Oryzias latipes: one gene and its partners. The protein of the gene in region 1 binds, or shares a complex with, the protein of each later gene. Links are inferred from orthologs where the notes say so. Each region holds a gene or a part of one and is shown on either strand. Other genes may lie near its edges.

The links.
Region 2: brpf1 (region 1) and kat6a share a complex: the UniProt entries of both Homo sapiens proteins name them as parts of the MOZ/MORF complex. The link is inferred for Oryzias latipes from reciprocal best matches to the Homo sapiens genes BRPF1 and KAT6A.
Region 3: brpf1 (region 1) and ing5 share a complex: the UniProt entries of both Homo sapiens proteins name them as parts of the MOZ/MORF complex. The link is inferred for Oryzias latipes from reciprocal best matches to the Homo sapiens genes BRPF1 and ING5.
Region 4: brpf1 (region 1) and kat6b share a complex: the UniProt entries of both Homo sapiens proteins name them as parts of the MOZ/MORF complex. The link is inferred for Oryzias latipes from reciprocal best matches to the Homo sapiens genes BRPF1 and KAT6B.

Annotation. Positions count from the first base shown.
Region 1 is NC_019865.2:17,252,314-17,257,412, reverse strand, and holds the start of brpf1 (peregrin), read left to right. Parts: upstream 1-2,039; 5' UTR 2,040-2,299; intron 2,300-2,305; exon of another isoform or gene 2,306-2,646; 5' UTR 2,647-2,719; intron 2,720-2,754; exon of another isoform or gene 2,755-2,876; coding exon of another isoform or gene 2,877-2,900; intron 2,901-3,747; exon of another isoform or gene 3,748-4,408; 5' UTR 4,409-4,453; coding exon 4,454-5,099. UniProt on the Homo sapiens protein: Scaffold subunit of various histone acetyltransferase (HAT) complexes, such as the MOZ/MORF and HBO1 complexes, which have a histone H3 acetyltransferase activity.
Region 2 is NC_019867.2:24,401,169-24,405,787, reverse strand, and holds part of kat6a (histone acetyltransferase KAT6A), read right to left. Parts: intron 4,416-4,619; coding exon 4,300-4,415; intron 2,747-4,299; coding exon 2,665-2,746; intron 1,801-2,664; coding exon 1,686-1,800; intron 1,575-1,685; coding exon 1,258-1,574; intron 1,141-1,257; exon of another isoform or gene 905-1,140; coding exon 792-904; exon of another isoform or gene 731-791; intron 499-730; exon of another isoform or gene 279-498; coding exon 163-278; intron 1-162. UniProt on the Homo sapiens protein: Histone acetyltransferase that acetylates lysine residues in histone H3 and histone H4 (in vitro). Component of the MOZ/MORF complex which has a histone H3 acetyltransferase activity. May act as a transcriptional coactivator for RUNX1 and RUNX2.
Region 3 is NC_019862.2:3,236,044-3,241,131, reverse strand, and holds the start of ing5 (inhibitor of growth protein 5), read right to left. Parts: upstream 3,360-5,088; 5' UTR 3,032-3,359; coding exon 2,995-3,031; exon of another isoform or gene 2,914-2,994; intron 2,854-2,913; exon of another isoform or gene 2,665-2,853; intron 734-2,664; coding exon 662-733; intron 494-661; coding exon 327-493; intron 228-326; coding exon 116-227; intron 42-115; coding exon 1-41. Other genes in the region: plekhb2 (pleckstrin homology domain-containing family B member 2), read left to right, coding at 3,816-3,852, 4,261-4,413, 4,509-4,611, 4,711-4,750, 4,957-5,040. UniProt on the Homo sapiens protein: Component of the HBO1 complex, which specifically mediates acetylation of histone H3 at 'Lys-14' (H3K14ac) and, to a lower extent, acetylation of histone H4. Component of the MOZ/MORF complex which has a histone H3 acetyltransferase activity.
Region 4 is NC_019877.2:10,213,560-10,218,178, forward strand, and holds part of kat6b (histone acetyltransferase KAT6B), read left to right. Parts: coding exon 1-537; intron 538-4,618; coding exon 4,619-4,619. UniProt on the Homo sapiens protein: Histone acetyltransferase which may be involved in both positive and negative regulation of transcription. Required for RUNX2-dependent transcriptional activation. May be involved in cerebral cortex development.

The DNA of each region.
Region 1 (5,099 bases):
GCTGGCTTATTCATTTTAAAAGCAGTGATCAGGCAGAGAGGGTTTTGCCTGCTGTGTGTCCCACTGCATAGTCCCACCCTGTTCTGCTGCACTCTAATCACAAACTATATGTTAAGAGAGAAATAAATATTTTGTGCTTGAAAAGGATTGTGTTTTGGTTTTTCTTATAAACTTGGACTGTTTTATACTTCCTTTAAGTTTGTAGAATCTGGAATAAATGGAGCCATTTGGCCTTTAAGTGTGGCGTTTGTTCACGTTGCAACACATTTTCTAAAAAGTTAGGACAATAAAGAACCTAAAATCTTCAGAAATCTTGACCCAGGGGTGACTGGACTTTTTGCGAAGAGGACCAGTTTTAAGTGAGGTGAAAATGTGAGGGCCAACCATTTGGAGATCCTTCTTAAAACCCTTCTAGTAAACCGTTAACCTCTTAAGACTTTGCTCTGGTTTAAAATGCATCATTTTATTTCATAGTCACAGGGCCCCAGTAAGCAGAATAAACTACTGTGGTAACACAACCCAAAATGTGATTTAAGAGGTCAATTGGAAACTAACTATTCAATGATTTATTTATAATGGAATACTTTTCATTTCTTCACACAGAACAAAAATACATTTAAATACATTTTTTTTAACTTACTGTGAATTTCATATTTGAAGACCAGAACTATAACAAAGAAAATGTCTCTCTGAAAAGAAAAAAAAAACCTTTTGTGAATATTAAATCTGGGTTCATTTGAAACTTTACATTTTATTTACAATTTAATGCTCACTGTAAACTTCTAAATTTAAATCACGAGACCAAAACAGTAACACAAAATTATCATATTCAGAAGTACAAAACACTTTTTTTCTTTTTATCTTTTTTATTTTTATTCATTTTATTTTATTTTTCATTAAAAAAAAAGTCTTCCCTTCTCATTTGGCCTTGGAGGCTCAGAAGGTCAAGTGTTTGTTACCAAAGGTTTACAACGACAAGTAGTCCTTAGAAAGGCGCCGGGGGTCCCATATTATTGATTGGATGACAGGATCCTGCGGACTGGTAGAAATGTGCATGCGGGCCACATGTGGCCAGACTTTGGACATGCATGCCTAACTGTATTTATTTGATGATGAAGAGTTTACAATTGACAGTCAAATTAAAAATTGTAATGCTTTACTTTGTAAATTATTTAACCATCTATTTTAAAAAAAATATGTAGCTTTGCATATTTCTACAGCAGATTTACATGGGATTTTGTTTTGCCTACACTAGGACAACTGTAAAATTCACAACATTTAGAAATAGAGAAATAATATTCATCTTCATTTTTACTAGACATTGCACTGTACAATAATATCTAACGCAAGCCACAGATTGGCAAATTTAACTAGGTCTGATAGCAAAATACAGAATAACTAGTAGGCATTGAGCATGAAAGGATGGAGTTCGTAATAACTTTTTTTTAATTGAACTTCAAACAAACATATACCCATAGCTGCAACAGAAAGACATACAAAGAATAAAATACAAACAAAAAAAATGAAAAATAACATTAACATTGTAGATCACAATACCAGGGATTGTCATACAACATGCGATCTTCAATGAAAATAGACAATTTTATAGCATTTTTGTTTTTTTTTATTAATTTCAGAGATTTAAAATATAAACTGATCTCTTTATTAAATGTATTGAATAATGGTTTGGTTTTTGAAAATCTGCTCTTATGAATGAAAAATTTCCCAGATATTTATAAAGTATTGAATGCCAAATCAAATAGATTATCACCAGAAACTACTCCAAATAATATGATGTGCTGTTCGTAATAACTAACAGGCTCACAGTTGAAATTCAAACACAGGCACTACACAAGACGCAAAGTCGTAAAATGGCTTGCTCTCGATTGGATCTTCTCTGAGATGAGCCCGCCCAATCTAACTGTAACAACCAATCAGCTACTCATACTCAACACAACCACCAATCAGAATGGAGCTCCCGCCCCCAGTATCCCTTTGTCTGATCCAATCAAAGAAAACGGTCGAATTAGATCCTGCTTTCCGTGTCGAATGTGTCGAACTGCCTCCGCTGCGCAGCGTTACTGCAATGGTTGCCCCTTTTGTTCATCCGTATTCCTGAATTGTTTAATACACAATGAAAGTACCTGGATATTTTATTGTTTCATAAAAACATCCCACTGCAATTACGATCTCTGTGATCTCATCTGGGATTTTTTTTAAATCAATTAAACTCGAACTGCTATCCTGAGCTGCTGTGAGGTTTCCGAAGCACGCAGTCTTTCTTGAGGAACGTGGAGTTGTAAGTGTTAATAACGCCAGTCATGAACTACAATGTTAACGTAATACTGTTATGTGGGGAATCTGTTCACATTTAAAGTTCTGAGTGGGAGCCAGTAGGCGACAACTTAGCAATTATCGCAATCCATCTCAGTCTATCATGTCCTGAAAACAAACTGACGTTCGTCAGACCCTTCGTCAAAAAGAAGTACGCACGGGCTTCCTTGGTTACTAGTAAAACACTCAAAAGACACAGTATCACAGAAAATAACATTTTTACTAGCATTAGTTTGGTCAAGCGTTTGAATTCCCCACTATTGTTTGTTAGTCTCACAAAACCCGATGTTAAACTGTCAAATCGCTGCCCAGTCTCCGGAATCACCAGGGTGAGGTCGTTATGGAGGGAAACACCGGGGTTGAATGACTCCAGCCAGCCTGCAGTGTACGTAACTCCAAATACTTTCCAGAATTGTGTATTTGTAGTTCTACCGAGATGCTCTGTGGTGTTTACGTTGACATGTCTTTCTTTGTTTCGCTAACGTTTACCACGGGAACTCAGCTACAGTTTTAGCAAAGCGAATTAAACGTCACCGTGAAGTATGCAACTGAAAAGCAACACAACAGTAAGGACTAAAGTAAAGATGGCTCTGCTCAATGTTTAATTGCGTTTGTGTTTATGGAGGCTACGTTACAGTTATTGGCGCTATTCGCTTCGTGACCTAATGTTGTTTGCTAGCTGTTGTTAGCATGATGGCTAATAGCGCTTTCTGTTGTCATTGTTTGTGGAGGCGACTGAAAACGCTAGTTAACAAGATTAAAGCTACGTGTTTGAGTTTCTCTTAGAAATATAAACTCTGTTATTTTAATTGTTTTTTTTATTTTGTTACTGGATTTTAATTTATTTTCCTTGTGTTTCCTTTAGCCTGTGAACAGTGGTGTATTGCTGTAGTTTTATTGTAATGGTCACCTCAGCTTCACTGAAGATGTAAGGGTCGTAGTAATGGCACTGAAATGCACCTGTTACTGGGAGACATTTGCAACTATTTATTTGTCACTACAACTACGGGAAGCCTCTTGGTTACATGACTTCACCGTACCCAGCTCACGAGGATGTATTAAAGCAATCAACAAAAATCATTTCCTGCTAAAAATCCCACCAATTTAAGTTAATTTGCAAGTTTTCACATAAACTTTTGATTTATTGTTACAATAACTCTAAGACGTAGTTTAACTAGGGGTGTAACGATTCCTTTTTAACAATGATTCGATCCATTTAAAGATTTGTGGTTGAAGATACGATTTATAGTCAATATAGGTTCATTTTGAACAATCCCGTTCACTGACCTAAAGTTGATCCAGGACAACTTTAGCCAGAAATTCAAGCAGTGTGACTCAGACATAAATACCTGGGTACTGAACAGGTGAAGTTTTCCAGATTTCTTGCAAGATAATTAAGTGTAAATGAAACAAACACGTTAACAAGAATCAATGGCAAATCCGTTCACATTTTAGTTTCATAAAGTTCAGCCCACTGTTGTTTTTTTCACGTAAAATATTACAAACAGAACATTATTAGACCATTCGACCACACTGCATGGTCACATCTTTGCAAAGTCATAGTATTTCTACACTATAATGATGCCATAATCCATTTTTGCTGACATAACGCAAGTTGACATTCTCTGATGCACTTGGTTGTTTTTACGTTATAGGAAAATAAACCCACCGTGCCTCAGTCCAAATAGTATTTTCCAATATCGATATAATCAATTTATTTCATTTTGAAATTGTTTTATAATGGTAAAGGTCAATTCGGTTGGATTGTAGGAATACAAAATCCATTCATCGATTAATCATTGCACCCCTTGGTTTAACCAACAAATCCTTTGATCAAAGTTTGAGTTAAACGTTAAAAGTTACCACTTCACATAGCTGATTTCGCAGACAACTGACAAATCTAATAATTTGTATTAATCATCAAAGGAAATACACAAATATTTACACCATATCAATATAGGTTTCTCAAATTTAAAAGAAAAAAGTTAGTTACTCTTCTGATATGTTGTACTATCACCTAAAGACATCTGGTCAGTGTTACATCTTGGCTCCCATTTGTGTTTTCCTGTTACAGATGTAAACTTGAGCATCATATGTCCCAGCAGTGTCTGTTGGCACAATGGGGCTGGATTTTGATGTAAAGACATTCTGTCACAATCTTAGGGCCACCAAGCCCCCTTATGAGTGTCCTGTGGAGACTTGTCGTAAGGTCTACAAGAGCTACAGTGGCATTGAGTATCACCTGTACCATTATGACCATGACAATCCAACTCCTGCACAGACTATGCCACAGAAGAAGAGGAAAGGACGGCCCCCTCGAGCCTCTCTGACTGGTTCAGCGGATACGGATGATGGCGGAGGCAATGGAGGACAGGGTCATGAAGGAAACACGCCGGGGAGCCCCAGCCGATCAGAGCACTCCCACTCTCCGGGGAGGGAGACCATGACCTATGCCCAGGCACAGAGCATGGTCGAACTGGAGATCCAAGGCCGTGTTCATCGCATTAGCATCTTCGAAAACATTGATGTGGTGTCAGAGGAGGACAGCGATGCTGATGATGCGCTGCCATCTGGAACTGGCAATAGCACGGGAGGTGTGTGTAACGGCGGCGACGGTGGAGGTGGAGGCAGTGAAGTGGGAGGGAGCTGCAAAGACCGTTCTGATATCACATCCTCCAACGGGGCCAAAGCAACACCAAAGACTGGGAAGCATAAGAGCAAAGCAAAGAAGAAGGATGGCTCATCTCATCACCACAACTCTCAGT
Region 2 (4,619 bases), on another chromosome or scaffold:
GATAGTAAATAAAACAGAAAAACGTTTTTCTTTTTGGTGTGTGGCCCTTTACATCTCACGGACCGGCAGAGGTCCGTGACACCCCCTCCTCCCCCCTGGGTTAACAGACCTGTTCACTAACAGCTTTGTGTTGATGTGCAGTTTTGAAGTATGTTAACTTACCTGCTGTATTCCTGCGGGTAGGGAGATGAATACCAAGTCTGGATTTCAAACTTGCCAAACTCGATGACGGCTGGGCAGCGCATCTGAGGGTCAGGCGGACCCGTCACGCCCACTTTCTGTTGGGGTTGAGCATGAATATGAGGATGGGGAAAACAGGGAAATGAACATTTCCCTGGAGCCTCTTCACAGCATTGTGGTAAGATTTATGACAAACACGTAACTCTGAATCACTGCCACTAAGCCTGGATAATCACGCTGACCTTTCACAGTTCAATAGCTGGCAGAACGCCCACCTTCGCCTGACTTTACTGCAGCACATAAGCCTCTGACATCAAGGTAATTCATTTATTTAGTGCGCTTAAACTGTCAGGCCTCTGTGTCTTTCCGATCTTGCCGTATTTCCTATCAGTCATGAGAAGAATGCCAAACTCAAAAGAGTTCCTGTGGCAAAGCAGCTGTCCTTGTTATCTGGATCAATTATCCATGCTGAATCCAACAGCTGATCTGTGTCTTTGCAGAGAAAAACCTGCGATCCAACTTGACTTCCTGTCACCTCCTGCTCTTTCAGATGCCGTTTTCCTGTCTAAAGCCAGATGCTGCTTTGTTCCTCCTCGGTTCACTCGGCGTACCTGTAACGCCAACTCCTGGATGTGTCGGAACAGCTCGATATCCTTCTCCGTCAGGTTCTCGTGGCCGGGGAGTTTGTCGTCGTCTTCCCGCCAGTCGCTGCCATCCTGATTGTCTGGACATCAAAGGAAATGAAGGCAAAGCTGATGAACGGGAGGTCGGTTTAAGCTAACCATGTTTGGCCAATGCTAGCTTAAAATGATTATCCAGAAACTGCAGAATTTAAAACACATTCTTTTGTCCTGTTTTGCGTTTCTTCTGCCAATTTTGCTCATTTGGAAATCAAAATGTTCTCTTGCTTCATTTAAAAGGATTAGCAAAAAGAAGTTTGAATAAAACAAACAATGCTGACTGAAGCTCCTTCTTTCCTGTGTGATCACAGCGTTTGACTTCCTGTTGCCGTAAACACAGCCGAGGGTTTGGTACATGGGGTTCTGATGAGGGGAAAACTTCAGAAAAAGTGCTCACCCTCACCTCCCCTGTCGTCCCCTTCTCCTTTGCGACTCGCTTTCTTTCGAATGCGACACTGCTGCGAGTAGTCAACCACCTCCTGGCGGGCCTTGCGGCCCTCCGGCGACGGCGTGAAGAACTTGGTGAGGGCGTCGATGAGGCCCTTGGTCTTGCTGTTGTAGCGCAGGCCGCTCTGCTCGTCGTCGCCTCGCATGGAGAAGAGCAGCCGGTCGTCGCCCGGGTACCCCTCACAGGAGGAGCTGGAGGAGGAGTTCGCCGAGACCGACCGCTTCCTGCGGCCGCGCCCCCCAAGCTTCTTGAAGGGCCGCCCCGGCCTGTGGGAGATAGATCAGAGAACCCTGAACTCCTGCAGAGGTATGAAGCTGCATCCCTTCAGCAGTTTATTCGCACTCGGATGTGACAAGTGCATGAACCTGGCTCCGTACCTGGACTTTGGCCGGCCCAGAGGTGCGTTGTAGCGCCGTTTGATCTGCGCCGCCTTTTCGTGTAAAAGAGTCTTTCCTTTTTTCCTGGGTTGGCAGATTTGGCAAATCCACATACCTGGGACAGAAAAGGGGGAAAGAAAACCCTCAGGTCATCCACCGCAAAGAAAAGCGAGATATGAAAGTATTTCTGCAGCAGATCAGAACTGGACTAAAGCGGCCAGTGGCGTTATACGAGGCGCTAACGGCCCTTGCCGCCCCATTTTGACCCGCCCTTACTGCCTGAACGGCTGCTGCACACCCTTCAATCTCCCCTTCGCCCTTTGCCATCCTGGTGAGAGATGCATGTGCCAAATTCATAATAAATAAATAAATAAATGCCACTTTTCTGTAGATTTTATTTCCATAGCAACAATCTTTTTTTGATCGCCTGGGGTTCCCAAAGGTTACATGTAATTAAAAATTAATTTTTGGATTTCCTTGACAATGGAAGTATTTGTTAGCCACGCCCACATTCCTAAATGTTCATACTGTATATTGTTGAGCTTGAATAGCCAGGGATTCTTTCACTTTTCAGAGTTTGCCTTCCAAAGCTGTTGAAAATCTACAAACTTTGAAACCAACATTTGTTTTCACTGTAGCTTCCAGAAGATGCTCGAGGAGTTAGGAGGCGAGAGAATGAAATCCCTAGGAGGAGTTTAAATTTGTAAAAGCCACTAAAGGTGATCTTTTGTTAAGTCAAGATGGTAGCCTCTGGCTGAGGTCAAAGGTCAAAACAATAGATCTGACGGCGCCTGTCTGAAATTTTGTGAAGATCCCTTAAGCAGAACTTTTTTTCCTCATTTCGTAGAAAAATGTGAATACTGCCAAACAGCTGCAAAGCTGTAGGTCCTGTGGCCATCCCATAATTTCAAAAACTTCCTTTCGAAATACCCCACCACGTGTGTTTTGGTCTTGTTAATGGATTTTGCTGATGATTTACCTTTAGGCATCCGCGTGAGTGGGGGGTCGCAGCACTCCATGTGGAAGCCGCGGTCACAGGAGTCGCAGAAGAGCATGTTGTCCTGCTCACACACACAAATACATTCATGTTAGTGCGTCCCACTTCCTCAGATGGACTGTACTGTTCACACTATTTATGGCATACGGCTGGGGATCGTTACTTGGGCGGTGATCCGATTCGATTCACAGATCAAACTACCATTCTTACTTTTGAGTCTGATTGTACATTTGCTTTATTAGTTTGTCTTTTAACTGGCCGTTTGGAAATTAAAATGATATGTATTCAGTCACCATCACTTAGGCTTTTATCTAGAACAGGAGATCAGATTCAACACAATTGATAAAAACCCAGAGATTGGGATACAAACAAACGCTGTTTGTCACTTAAGTTTTTTTTTGGCAGGTCTCTGGTTACGTTCAGCAGTAACATGAGCATCCTTGTTGATTTGGATCAAATAACAACAAATCCTGAAATTTTTTTCCACAGTCTTCCATCCTCAAAGTTCTGCAACACTTTACGTTCCGAAGCATAGCATATCGACGCAAAGCCGGTCTGAAAAGCTGCTTTTCTTCCTGGCGATTATGTCATGGCTACTGTGCAGTGCTTGCATATCAGCTTGAGGCTGCTTTTCTCCGCTTCAGAATCGACTGGAATGAAGTTAAATGCGACTGCTGCTGAAGAGTAACCGCAATGAGAAGAATGTAAACACTCCGCTGTAAAAAGCTCATTCGTTTTTCAGATCTTATGTCAGTAAACTGAACTTTAGTCTCATTTTTTTAAACTTCATAAACACACAGGAGAGTTTTATTTTGAAAAAGAGAAGCTTCACTGACACTTTATTTTGATGACTGTGGCGCTGCGCATTCGGCTTTCTTTTTTTTTGGTTCAGAAACTTAAAATCCAACATTATTTAACATTTAAGAGCAATAAATACATCAATCCCGATTTGTGTTTTTAATACACTTTTACATATATTTCTAAAGATCACGAATCAGTGATGTCACAAATATTTGTACTGTGTAATTTTCGAGAGCAGATCGCGATTAGCCGACTTATTCGTACACTCGTCAAAGTCCTAGTATCCCACCGTCAATAATTGACATAAAACTTTATTAGCTACGTTCACAGTAACTCGAAAACATATTTGTAACACGCGACATGTTATAAGTATTACAATAAAACCCAACCGTGTTTGGATTTCGTAAAAAAAAGAAAACTGACGGACATTTTGACAGAGTGCTGTGCACCTCTCAAAATCGTTTTGACATCAATAAGCACAACCAAAAGAAATCTATATATAAGGGCGCACTGTTGTTTTTAAGTGTGCTTTATAGGGTTGAAAATATGGTTACATTCTACTGCTAACAAGTCAATAAATAAGATGACAAACGATATGCACATATTTCTAAACGGTAAAACAGTCAAATGGAGGCTTTTCTGTCACGCCGTTAGTCTCAGAGATAAAGATCTCTTCAAACGACTCATCTAAAGGAAGCTTAAATGGGTGAAACCACGCAGAAGCTGACAATTAAGCTCAAAAGCAGGACCACGGATGTCGTCATGTGACGCCTGAGAGAGACATCAGGGCTTCTGCGTGTTCCTTCCACCGCTCACCGCATTCTTTCCTTGATCCTGACAGCTGCTGCAGGTCTTACACTCGATGCACTGCCACCACAGAGCCTTGACTCGCGCCGTGAGCTCCGGTGAGAACTTCAGACAGGACGGGTGGCCTGGAGGTGCAGAAAGACAGCACAAGGAGAAAGGAGCGCATCAGCGACGCACACTGCCTTCTGGCTGCAGCTGACAGACAGCTCTGACCCACTTGTGTCATTTAAAAATGAAGGAGTAGAGGAAGAAGAGGGGGAGGAGGGGGCCTTCGGTCTATCAAACCTGGCAGTGAGGAAAATTTTACAAACAAATATGACAGTCTGTCA
Region 3 (5,088 bases), on another chromosome or scaffold:
TCTGGATCCACGCTTGTCCCGCTGCCCCCGTGAGTCACCTTCTGAGTCAAACGTCACAAACAATAAGCCCCCCAATGCAAACTTTGGCCGAGAAGGTTCCAGCGGGAGGATTTACTTTTCAAGGTTCTGCTGTCGGTGCTGTCGTAGCCGGTCAGCTCCAGCTTCTCCTTCAGCTCGTTCTCAAAGCGGGCCAGGTCTGCATCCAGCCTGCGGATGTGTTTGTCCACCTTTAGAACAGAAGAAGACGTCTTTCAAACGGCTCTGTTCACAAGGCATGCTTGAGAGGAAAAAGGTGGCGTGTTGTCAGGCGTGTCATGAAGGCTCACCATTTCATACGTTTGCATGGCGAGCTGAACTTTGTCGTCACTGAACTCCTTGCACTTGCTGTAGGCGTTCTGAATCTTCTGTAGATGTTCCACTCTCTGCTCTGAAGCCAGGTTCTTCACGTTGGATATATATTCTTCTGCCAGTCTGTCAATCTCTCCTTTCTTTTCTGCAGAGGAGCAGAAATGTTTTGAGCCACAACGACGGACAACTCAAAGGAAAGCAGAAAAACCTCTATGTCTACCACAGATGATGGGTTTCAGTGAAGAAGCCATCATCTTCTAAAAGTTCCTTTTCTGTCGCCTTTGGCTAAAAGGTTAATGGATAAAACCCCTACCTTCAGTTCTGCTGTCCAGGTCCCGCATTAACGTGAAGTTCCTTTGCAGCTCACACGGCAGGTTCTCAATACCTGGAGAAGTAAACACAGGGAGACATGGGATCATGACGCTGGACAGACATTGGGTAGTTTCCCCTGGAGACATGCCTGTTCTGCCCCAGAACAGCCGGTCACCAAATATAACAGATAGTATCAAATAGGGCTGCACGATATGAGGAAAACCCGCAATATGGGATATTAGTGATCAATATTCGATGACGATATAACTTGCGATAAATGAACAAATAGCAAAACAACAAAAACGTTTCCATTTCACTGCAAAGTATAATTTAAATAAGGGTCAAAATACCTCAAATTATTCTCCAAATGACCTTCGTCTAATTAAGAGGGCAACATCTAACATGAAAGCTCCATCTGATTGGTCAACAACAGGAAGGGCTCCATCTGATTGGTCAAATGGATAAAGAGATTTATTCAATTCATTAAATAGTTCACGTTGCCATAAGATTGTTTTAGCACATTTAAGGTTTACCATTTATTGAAATTGTCGCTGACTTTTGCGATATGGATATTGCACAGCTTGAAATCACGATACATCGATAAATTTGCGATTAATTGGCATTTTCCACCAGGACTCAGGAAAACGAGTAAGAAATAAAGAAAGATCCGCCACCAAAAACATGTTTTCAAAGACATTTGAAGTTTCAAAGGGATGTATACATCAGTGTGTTATGGCTTCTCAAACAAGCTGTAGCTGAAAGACCACGCATAGAGGTTTATGTTGACGTCTGGATTCTCTTCTTTTATTGGTTAAGTGCTATAAATAAACCCATTATTTTCCTGTTTCTCTTTTTTTCTTTATCATAGTATCTTCTGACATTTTTGGCCGCTTATCTCCTTCTACAATTTTTCAGCTATTTTAACTATTCAGCTCTTTCAGCTTTTTCCAGTTATGACTTTTGGTCCTTCAAATCCTTGAACTTTTCCAGATATTCCATGATTTTTGCCTCCATTGAAATACATGGGGAATCCTGGGTGCAGAAACTTGTCTGGCATTTTTCACAAAAATATCTTTATTATTTTGCCGTTTTTACTTTACTTATGGTCAACTTTGAACATTTCTTTATTTAATTTTTTATTTTGTGCCCATTCTTACCCTTTTAGTTTCATTTTCATTAAGCAATATACGTTAAAACCTTGCATTTTCTTCTGGAAATGCAGCTCCTTCTGGCTTTCTCTAGTCTTGCTCTCTAGATCAGTGTTTTTCAACTTTTTTTGAGCCACGGGACACTTAAACCTTGACAAAAATCCCGCGGCACACCAGCATCCAAAAATAAAGAAAAGGGAGAAACTCTTAGTCTGTATTGATGTACAGTCCCTCCACAATCTCACATGCATTTCTGTGATAATTGTGGCAGAAAAAGCTGGAAGCTGCAGCTGTTTCTTCTAAAAGATGTAATAAAAGTTAAGTTAAAATATTTAAAAACTGTTTGATGCGTGTTCGTTGTGGTTTCAAGACGTCAAAGGCTACGTTCACACCACAGACTGAAACGACCCAATTCCGATTTTTTTGCCCCCCTGTGACCTGTATCTGATCTTTTCATGACAGTCTGGACGACGCAGATCCCATCTTTTCAAATGTGACCCAGGCCCCTTGGGTATGTGGTCCTGAATCTGAGACGTATCCGATCTTTTGAGCTGAAATCCTGGAGATGGTAAATGTTTTTAGATCAGTGAATGAGGGCAATTTCCCACGGCACACATGACCATCTCCCACGGCACACTGGTTAAAAAACGCTGCTCTAAGGATGTAGGTGGCCCCTGTTCCACATCATGGTCGTGCTCAGCATGGTGGGGCTGACAGGATGCACAGCGCTCTAGCGCCACCCAGCGTCAGCTGGAAGGGCTCGTCTGCAGGGCGTGGAGTCAGGGGGGCACCGGGCCTGCGCAGTAACCAAAAAGGCGGTTTGCACAGGCTGCACATCATGAAGTCCCGGCAGCAAACGGAAGCGCCTTCACGCGGGGTTGAAAAACAGTTCTTGAGTTAAAAATCCCTCAATAATAAAAATAGATAAATAAAAACGTGACTCCAATGGAAATACTAAACTAAAAGGGTTTCGTCTCAGTATATTTCTGCTCCGGCGTGAATCTGTGAAGCCATCACAAGTCAACCCAAGTGACGTCACAAACATGTACGTATAATCAGTTTAGGTGTGCTACTACCACACACTTTAGTCTTTACCGTCTGCTAAACTACCCGCAGCCACACGGCGACGAAAAAGACCGAAGAAGCCCGAACCAAAACTCCTCCAGGACCTTCTACGGATACTCACTGTCAAGGTAGTGCTCCAGGTATATAGCAGTAGCCATTGTTGACGGAGAGTTCGGCTCCCGCGCGCTCTTTAGCTTCCAAACTACTAGCCAAACCAAGCTACGCTAAGTTTGTTTTGTAACTCCGGGTCGCCCGTCGGTCCCTGTCGTTGTAGGACTTCCGCTCCGCCGCCGCTCAAACTTTTCTCTTCCCGTCTCGTCTCCAGAGCATTCGACTGATTGTAGTTAGACGGTATTTCCGCAGACAGTCGACCTGCGCTCCGCTCCAAACACCGGGAAACCGACCGAAGATCTGGCAGCTCCACCACCCCGCAGACCAAGCGAGACCTTCACATGCGCGTTCCCGCTCAGATTACCAGCACTTTCCAGCTCGGTCAGCTGGTGCGTTGCGTCATTCAAAACAAACGTCTCGGTGGGCGGGGCTCCTGCAGCCTCTCTGTCCGTCCGTCCGGTCCGGCTAACGGAACAGGCAGGTCCCTCCGTCCGCTCCAGAAGCTTCTCATCTCGTGCTGGTTGCAAATTATTTTTTGCCTTTTGACGAATTGTCGAGTCACACGCGCGGTTACGTACGTACGTCAACCATATAGCATCTATGACTGCTTGAGCCTCCAAACTGTTTTGTTGGTATTAAATTTACGCTGCGGCTAAAATGCGGCTTTGGGGAAATTTTTCTGCATCTAGTAGAATGTATGTAACATGTCAAAGCGGAAGTTGTAGCTACTGCTAACATATTTCAGGTCACATCGAGCCTTGTTGTCGATTTAGTCCGTTTTTGGGGTTCTGCTGAGTTTCACTTCCAGCATGTTTGGTTGTGTCTTCTCAGATGGCTGTGGTGAAGAGCGGTTGGCTTCACAGACAGAGTGAGTCACGCGCATGCGCGGCCTATGCAGGTCATCCCAAAGAGCAGCTAGACACATTGAGTCACCTATTTTGGAACTGAAATATTACAAAAAATGTTTTATACATTTCAACGTTGTTTTCAAATTTCAGATGAAAATTAATTTATTATATTTGGTAAGTTTGATATTCACAAATCTAAAGTTTCTAAAAATAATCCCTGTAACAACAAAAGAATTAGAATCTTATTAGAACAAAACAGTAATAATTAAATATTGCCCTGGAACATTTTTAATTTTTTGTGATGTATGTTTTGTAATGCATGTGCATCCTCATTGTTATTGTTCTGTATGTTTTGGACAATTAGTTATATTTAATTGTAATAAAAAAGAGGTTCAGATGCTGATGGAAGCTGCTTCTTTTCATCGCAGGTACTATCCTGCGCCGCTGGAAGAGAAACTGGTTTGACCTATGGGCTGACGGACGCCTGGTGTTCTACAATGATCAGCAGAGGCGGGACATGGAGGATGACATCCACATGAGAGTCAGCTGCATCAACATCCGCAACTCTGCTGCATGCCAGGGTGAATTTCAGCATCCGCGATACTGTGACAGTTGCTGACCCTTAAAGTTAAACGTTGAGTTTTTTTATTGTGGGCCTTCCTGCATTTCCTGTCAGATCTGACCCCCCCGGAGGGGAAGTCCCGTGATGCCTTGCTGCAGATAGTGTGCAGGGACGGGCGTGTCATCAGCCTGTGTGCTGACAGTGCAGATGATGCTCTGTAAGACTCTTTAGGTGTCACCTTTGATCAAATGTAGTTCTTGGGTTCTGTGGAGAAGCTTTTAGTGAGACTGACGTCTTTTCCTGCTTCTTAACACAGAGCATGGACCATGGCGCTTCAAGATGCCAGGATTAACATGGTAAGATTTTTCATCGTCTGATACGTTTAGACTCAAACTAAGCTTGATTTTTTTTTTTTTTTTTTATTTGATCTAAAAATGAACACGAAATCAGATGGGATCAAGTGGAACAGAAGCTTGTAGTTTAGACCTGTGAGCGTTTTCTGTCTGGCGTTTCTGACAGAGTTACGGTTTAAGGGAAACCTTTGTTGCTCTGACGTGTGTAGGTGGTTGCAGCCCCGCAGGTCGGCTTCACACAGGAAGTCATGGAATCGGCTCCTCCCCCCTACTCGGAATACGCCCATCCACAGGTAAAAGGAGGAAACCACATACATTTTTGTTTTAAATCTTTATTTATT
Region 4 (4,619 bases), on another chromosome or scaffold:
TCGGAGGAAAGAATTTGCCATGCGGTGGCCACGTTGCATGGACTGGACAAGAAGACCATCCTTGAACAGTTGGAATTAAGCGTTCTTGATGGCTCTATCCTCAAGGTTACAAATAAGGGGAGCACCTCCTACAAGGACCCCGGGAACCTGGGAAGACTCGGATCGGTTTTGCCTGCGAACACATCTGTGCCATCAAAGGATTCTATATGGGAATCGAGCGATCTGCGCCACATCGATTGGAATAAAATACTTAGGAGGGCCATCGATGGTCTGGATGATACCCACGGCTCCTCTCTAAAGAACATCGAGCGCTATCTGAGGAATCAGGACGACCTGTCAAACGTTGTTGATAACCCTGCTTTCCGGCAGAGGTTGCGACTGGCAGCAAAGCGGTCCGTCAATAACGGCAGATTGTTGAAGAACGGTCCGAGGTATAAGTTCAGCCATGGTGGCGTGGAGGGAAGGAGCTCCAGGTGTCCAAGTGCTTCCCCCTTGCTCCTGTCATTGGTGACGCTCCTCCCACACGAACGAGACCAGGTAAACTCACCCCATTCATGCTATATTTGAAGCAGACGTGTTTAACAAAAGCACGCCATGTCACAAGAACGAAACTTGACATCTCAATCGAATTAGTTGGGCACATGGATTGTTAAACTTTCAAAATAAAGTTTTTAAAAAAAATCACCTAGTGGAGCTGTCTCCCCAAAATTGGTCTCCAAAATAAGAGGGCTTAGATATTCTGAAAGTAATGCTGACAGTGTGTGGTAGGCAGTCTGCTGTAGGCTTCCCACAGGTTATGTAACTCTAGCCTAATGACCTTAGAGGATGTGGCCACTTGTCTTGCCAGTTCTATAGCATCTGCGAGGAGAATCTGAATATTTTATTGGAAACTTGTGCAATTGTGAAAAGGGAAGGCAGATTATTCTCAGACTGGAGTTCAGGTCCTGACCCTTGTGCAAGTCGAGCCGCCCCGGAGAGGAAATGGAACCATGTAAACAAACTCACAGGTTCAATTGTTTCTCTGTCTCTGCACCGCTGACTCATACTTTTCCATCATGCTTAGCACCAAATGGTGTTTGATTTAAAAAAAAAAAAAATGTTGGTGCAAACTGCTTTAAAAACTTAAAAAAAAACAACTTTGAGTAATTTTTTTTAAGGTGTTATGCATCAGTTCTGCAGCTGCATCAATGTGGCCCTGCTCTTCAGCAGTTTCACAGTGAATAATCAGGAAGCGACACCTTGATACAGCACCCACAACTGTGACTGCATCTGTGGTCAGGCCAAAAGTGAAACCGAGAACTGTTTAGAGACATAGCGTCCTCCACTGACTCTCATAGTTGAGGAAAGGCGCGCTGTTTTCCATTTGGAACATTTCAACCTATTGCTCCCAGCCTGATGACATCACCCCCTCCAAACACTTCAGGTTTAACATTGACTTCAAAGGACGTTTAGTTGTGAAGGCACCAAAATAGTGTGTGTGCTGAGAATAAGAGATACTTTGAGGTTTAAAGGCAAAGAAGAGCAGTCTTGGTTTAGAGTTTATTAGATTTTGAAAAGACTCTGGCAGGAACAAAAGCGAGGAATGGGAGGTTTTTTTTTTTTTTTTTTCCCCCCCTGCTGTGTTATGCAACCACTTCAGCTTGCTCTCTTTCTACCAGCAATGTTCTAATAGGACCCCACCCCCTCACTCAGGACAGCCTGCTCTTTTGAAGCAGCATAATTTCCTGTAATGTACTTAATTTAGAATCCCCAAGTAAATCATCAGCATCTCTTCAGCCGCCGTTTGTCTCGCTGTTTTTCTCGTTTCTTTTTTGGCCTCGCACCGATTCTAAATTGGTATTGATTTTTATCACCAGACCTAAAAATATTCCTAATGGAAATTAATCCACTTCCAGGAACAGACTTCATTGCTCTGACTGCAGACAGTGTGTTGGGAAACCGCATTAAGATGCGTTCTTTAGAAGAAAAAAAAACACTTCCATCACTGGGGGAAGTTGTAGATAACTTCTACTGAGAGCTTTCAAAAGTTCTCCATTCATCACCAGCATATATGATCAAAAGGTAAATATTTCCAGACTTGTTGATGCGCGTCTGTTTGTTTAGCATCTTGACTGGAAGTGAAAGCTTTCCAGTAATAGCAGAGGCTATCAGCTCAAACGCACTAAAGTGTGATAACAGAAATCTGCTGTCAAGGAATCAGGCTTGCGCCGTTTGACCTTTAACGATCCCTCAACTAACAGACATTTATACTTTCTTTGCAGATAGACCACCATAAAATGTTAAAACCTTATATTTAGGGTAAAAAAAAAAATCACAAAACTGTATAGAGAATGACAAAAATTTGATTCTAGGCGCGTGCAGCCCGAATGTCTTCAGTCAGCTTTTGAGCTACGAACACACCAAAAATATGAAGCTCGTTCAAAAATTCACTAATGGCACATTTTTGAACACGCATTTAGCGCGTGGTACTCACACTGGACTAGCAGGGAGGGGCTTCCTTATCTTTCTGTTTTTCTCCTGTTTACTAGCTCATGTCCGCCACCTACTGTTGGAAGAGGCTTGGTGCAAAATGTCAAAGCGGTGTAAATTTCGTGACCCTTTCTTCAGGCTCTTCCTTTCTGAGCTCTGTTCCAATAAATGAAAGACTTGGAGTCGTAATGTTCCATCTGGGCACAAACCATTATTATAAACGTCTCTTCCATGATCAATCTTCATACGGTTGGCACTTCTGTTTATCAAAAGGGACGCCATCCATTCTTCACTACCAAATCCAAGTTCCTGATTGGTTAAAATTGGACCTGGTTTAACTTTCAGTGTCCGTTCAGTGGCCACGCTGTATGTAGAGCGCGAAAATGGGCTAAAAAATGTGCGTAGGTACTAGGGCTGCACGATATGAGGAAAACTCGCGATATGCGATATTAGAGATTAAAATTGCGATCATGATATAATTTGCGATATGTAAACAAATAGCAAAATAACCAAATAACCATTCCCATTACATTGCAACAGTTTAAAAATTATACTCCAAATGTCACTCGTCGACATAGGTGACAAACATCTAACATAATAGGCCTCCATCCGATTGGTCAAATGCATAAAGGGATTTATTTGATTCGTTAAATGGTTCAAGCTGACATAAGATTCTTTTAGCACATTTAAGGCTTACGATTTATTGCGATATTTGCCGTCTTTTGCGATATGCATATTGCAGAGCTGGATTTCGCGATAACAATAAATTTGCGGTACATTGTGCAGGCCTAGTAGGTACACATGAACACGAGAGTTGGTAGAAGTCCGAAATGCGCATTTACTTGAGCTTACATAGACTTTTATTGAAAGTGATTGCTTGAACGGGCGATGTGAATGTATATATTTTTTATTTTTATTAATATAATCCACAACATTAGGCTGGTTCGGATTTCTTTCCGGCCACATTTGGGACTTTAGCTTTGTAATGACTCCAACTCAAAGACACATTCAAATATTGACCTGGCAGATTGGGAAATGAAGTAATCCTGGATGTGGCAGCAAACCACCTCCTCTCACCCGCACGACTAATTAAAACAACCAGGAACAATGACCAAATTGCTGCTGCATCACTTCAGCACCCCCCCTTGGGGTTCATTTGGATGTTGGGACAGATTGAAAGTGCACTCGTGCCTTGTGTTTGTCGACAAATGAGAGGAGGAAAAAAAAAGGGGAGAATGAAAGATCTCTCCTGATTTCAGCAAAAGGCCATCTGCAGGTCAACACCAATGGTGATTTGGAAGATGCAAATTTGGTTGGTGACCTGCGTCACAGAAAACAGGAACTAATTATGCCCATCCCTGGAGTACAGTTTAAGGCTGCAGTCAACTGGGAGGGCCCGAGTGTGTAAACTAATGAGGAGGTGGGTTATTTATGGTCACACCCAGTCAAGTGTTGTTTTTCTGTTCAGAACTTTCACCAGCCTGCTCTTCTTGCACTCCCTGGGGCTTTTGAAAGGGATACCGCATGTAAAGTCAACAATAGGAAGTAAAAGCGTCCCCCTGAGATCAGTCTTTACTGGTAACTGTATAAAGCTATGGCTTGGCTCTGCCCCCTCCACCCCCTGGTCTATGTGGGAGTCCTCCTAAACCTCTGAACTGGTCCATAAGCCCTTAAATGAGTGTTTGTCCACAACATTTACAGTGGATCATGGCAGCAACAATGAGTGTATGTTATATTATTGAGGTAATTTGATTACATGCTAGTTAATCCTTTCATGCTGGAGTGCAAGCTTTAAGAATTGGATTAAGCCCTTAAACTACGATTACCCAAGATCACTTACACATTCAGATGGAGCGGATAAAGGAGGTGGATCTCAAACGCAGCATATCTCTGAGGATGAGATTAATTTATTATTCATTTCTAGTCTGTGAAGACTCAGCTCTTTTTTTCCTTTTCTTTTTATTCTCCGAGCTTCTACTTCCAGTTGATATATTTGCAGCCTCTTCATTAAATCCTCAAACTAGTTTTATCTTTTTGTGCCCCAAACCAGGGACACTATACTCCAGTGACTTTAGAAGTGCCAGGAAAAGTGAGACGTCTAAGAAACGGCTTTACATTAATGCTCTTTAATGTCTGCCTTCCCACTCAGC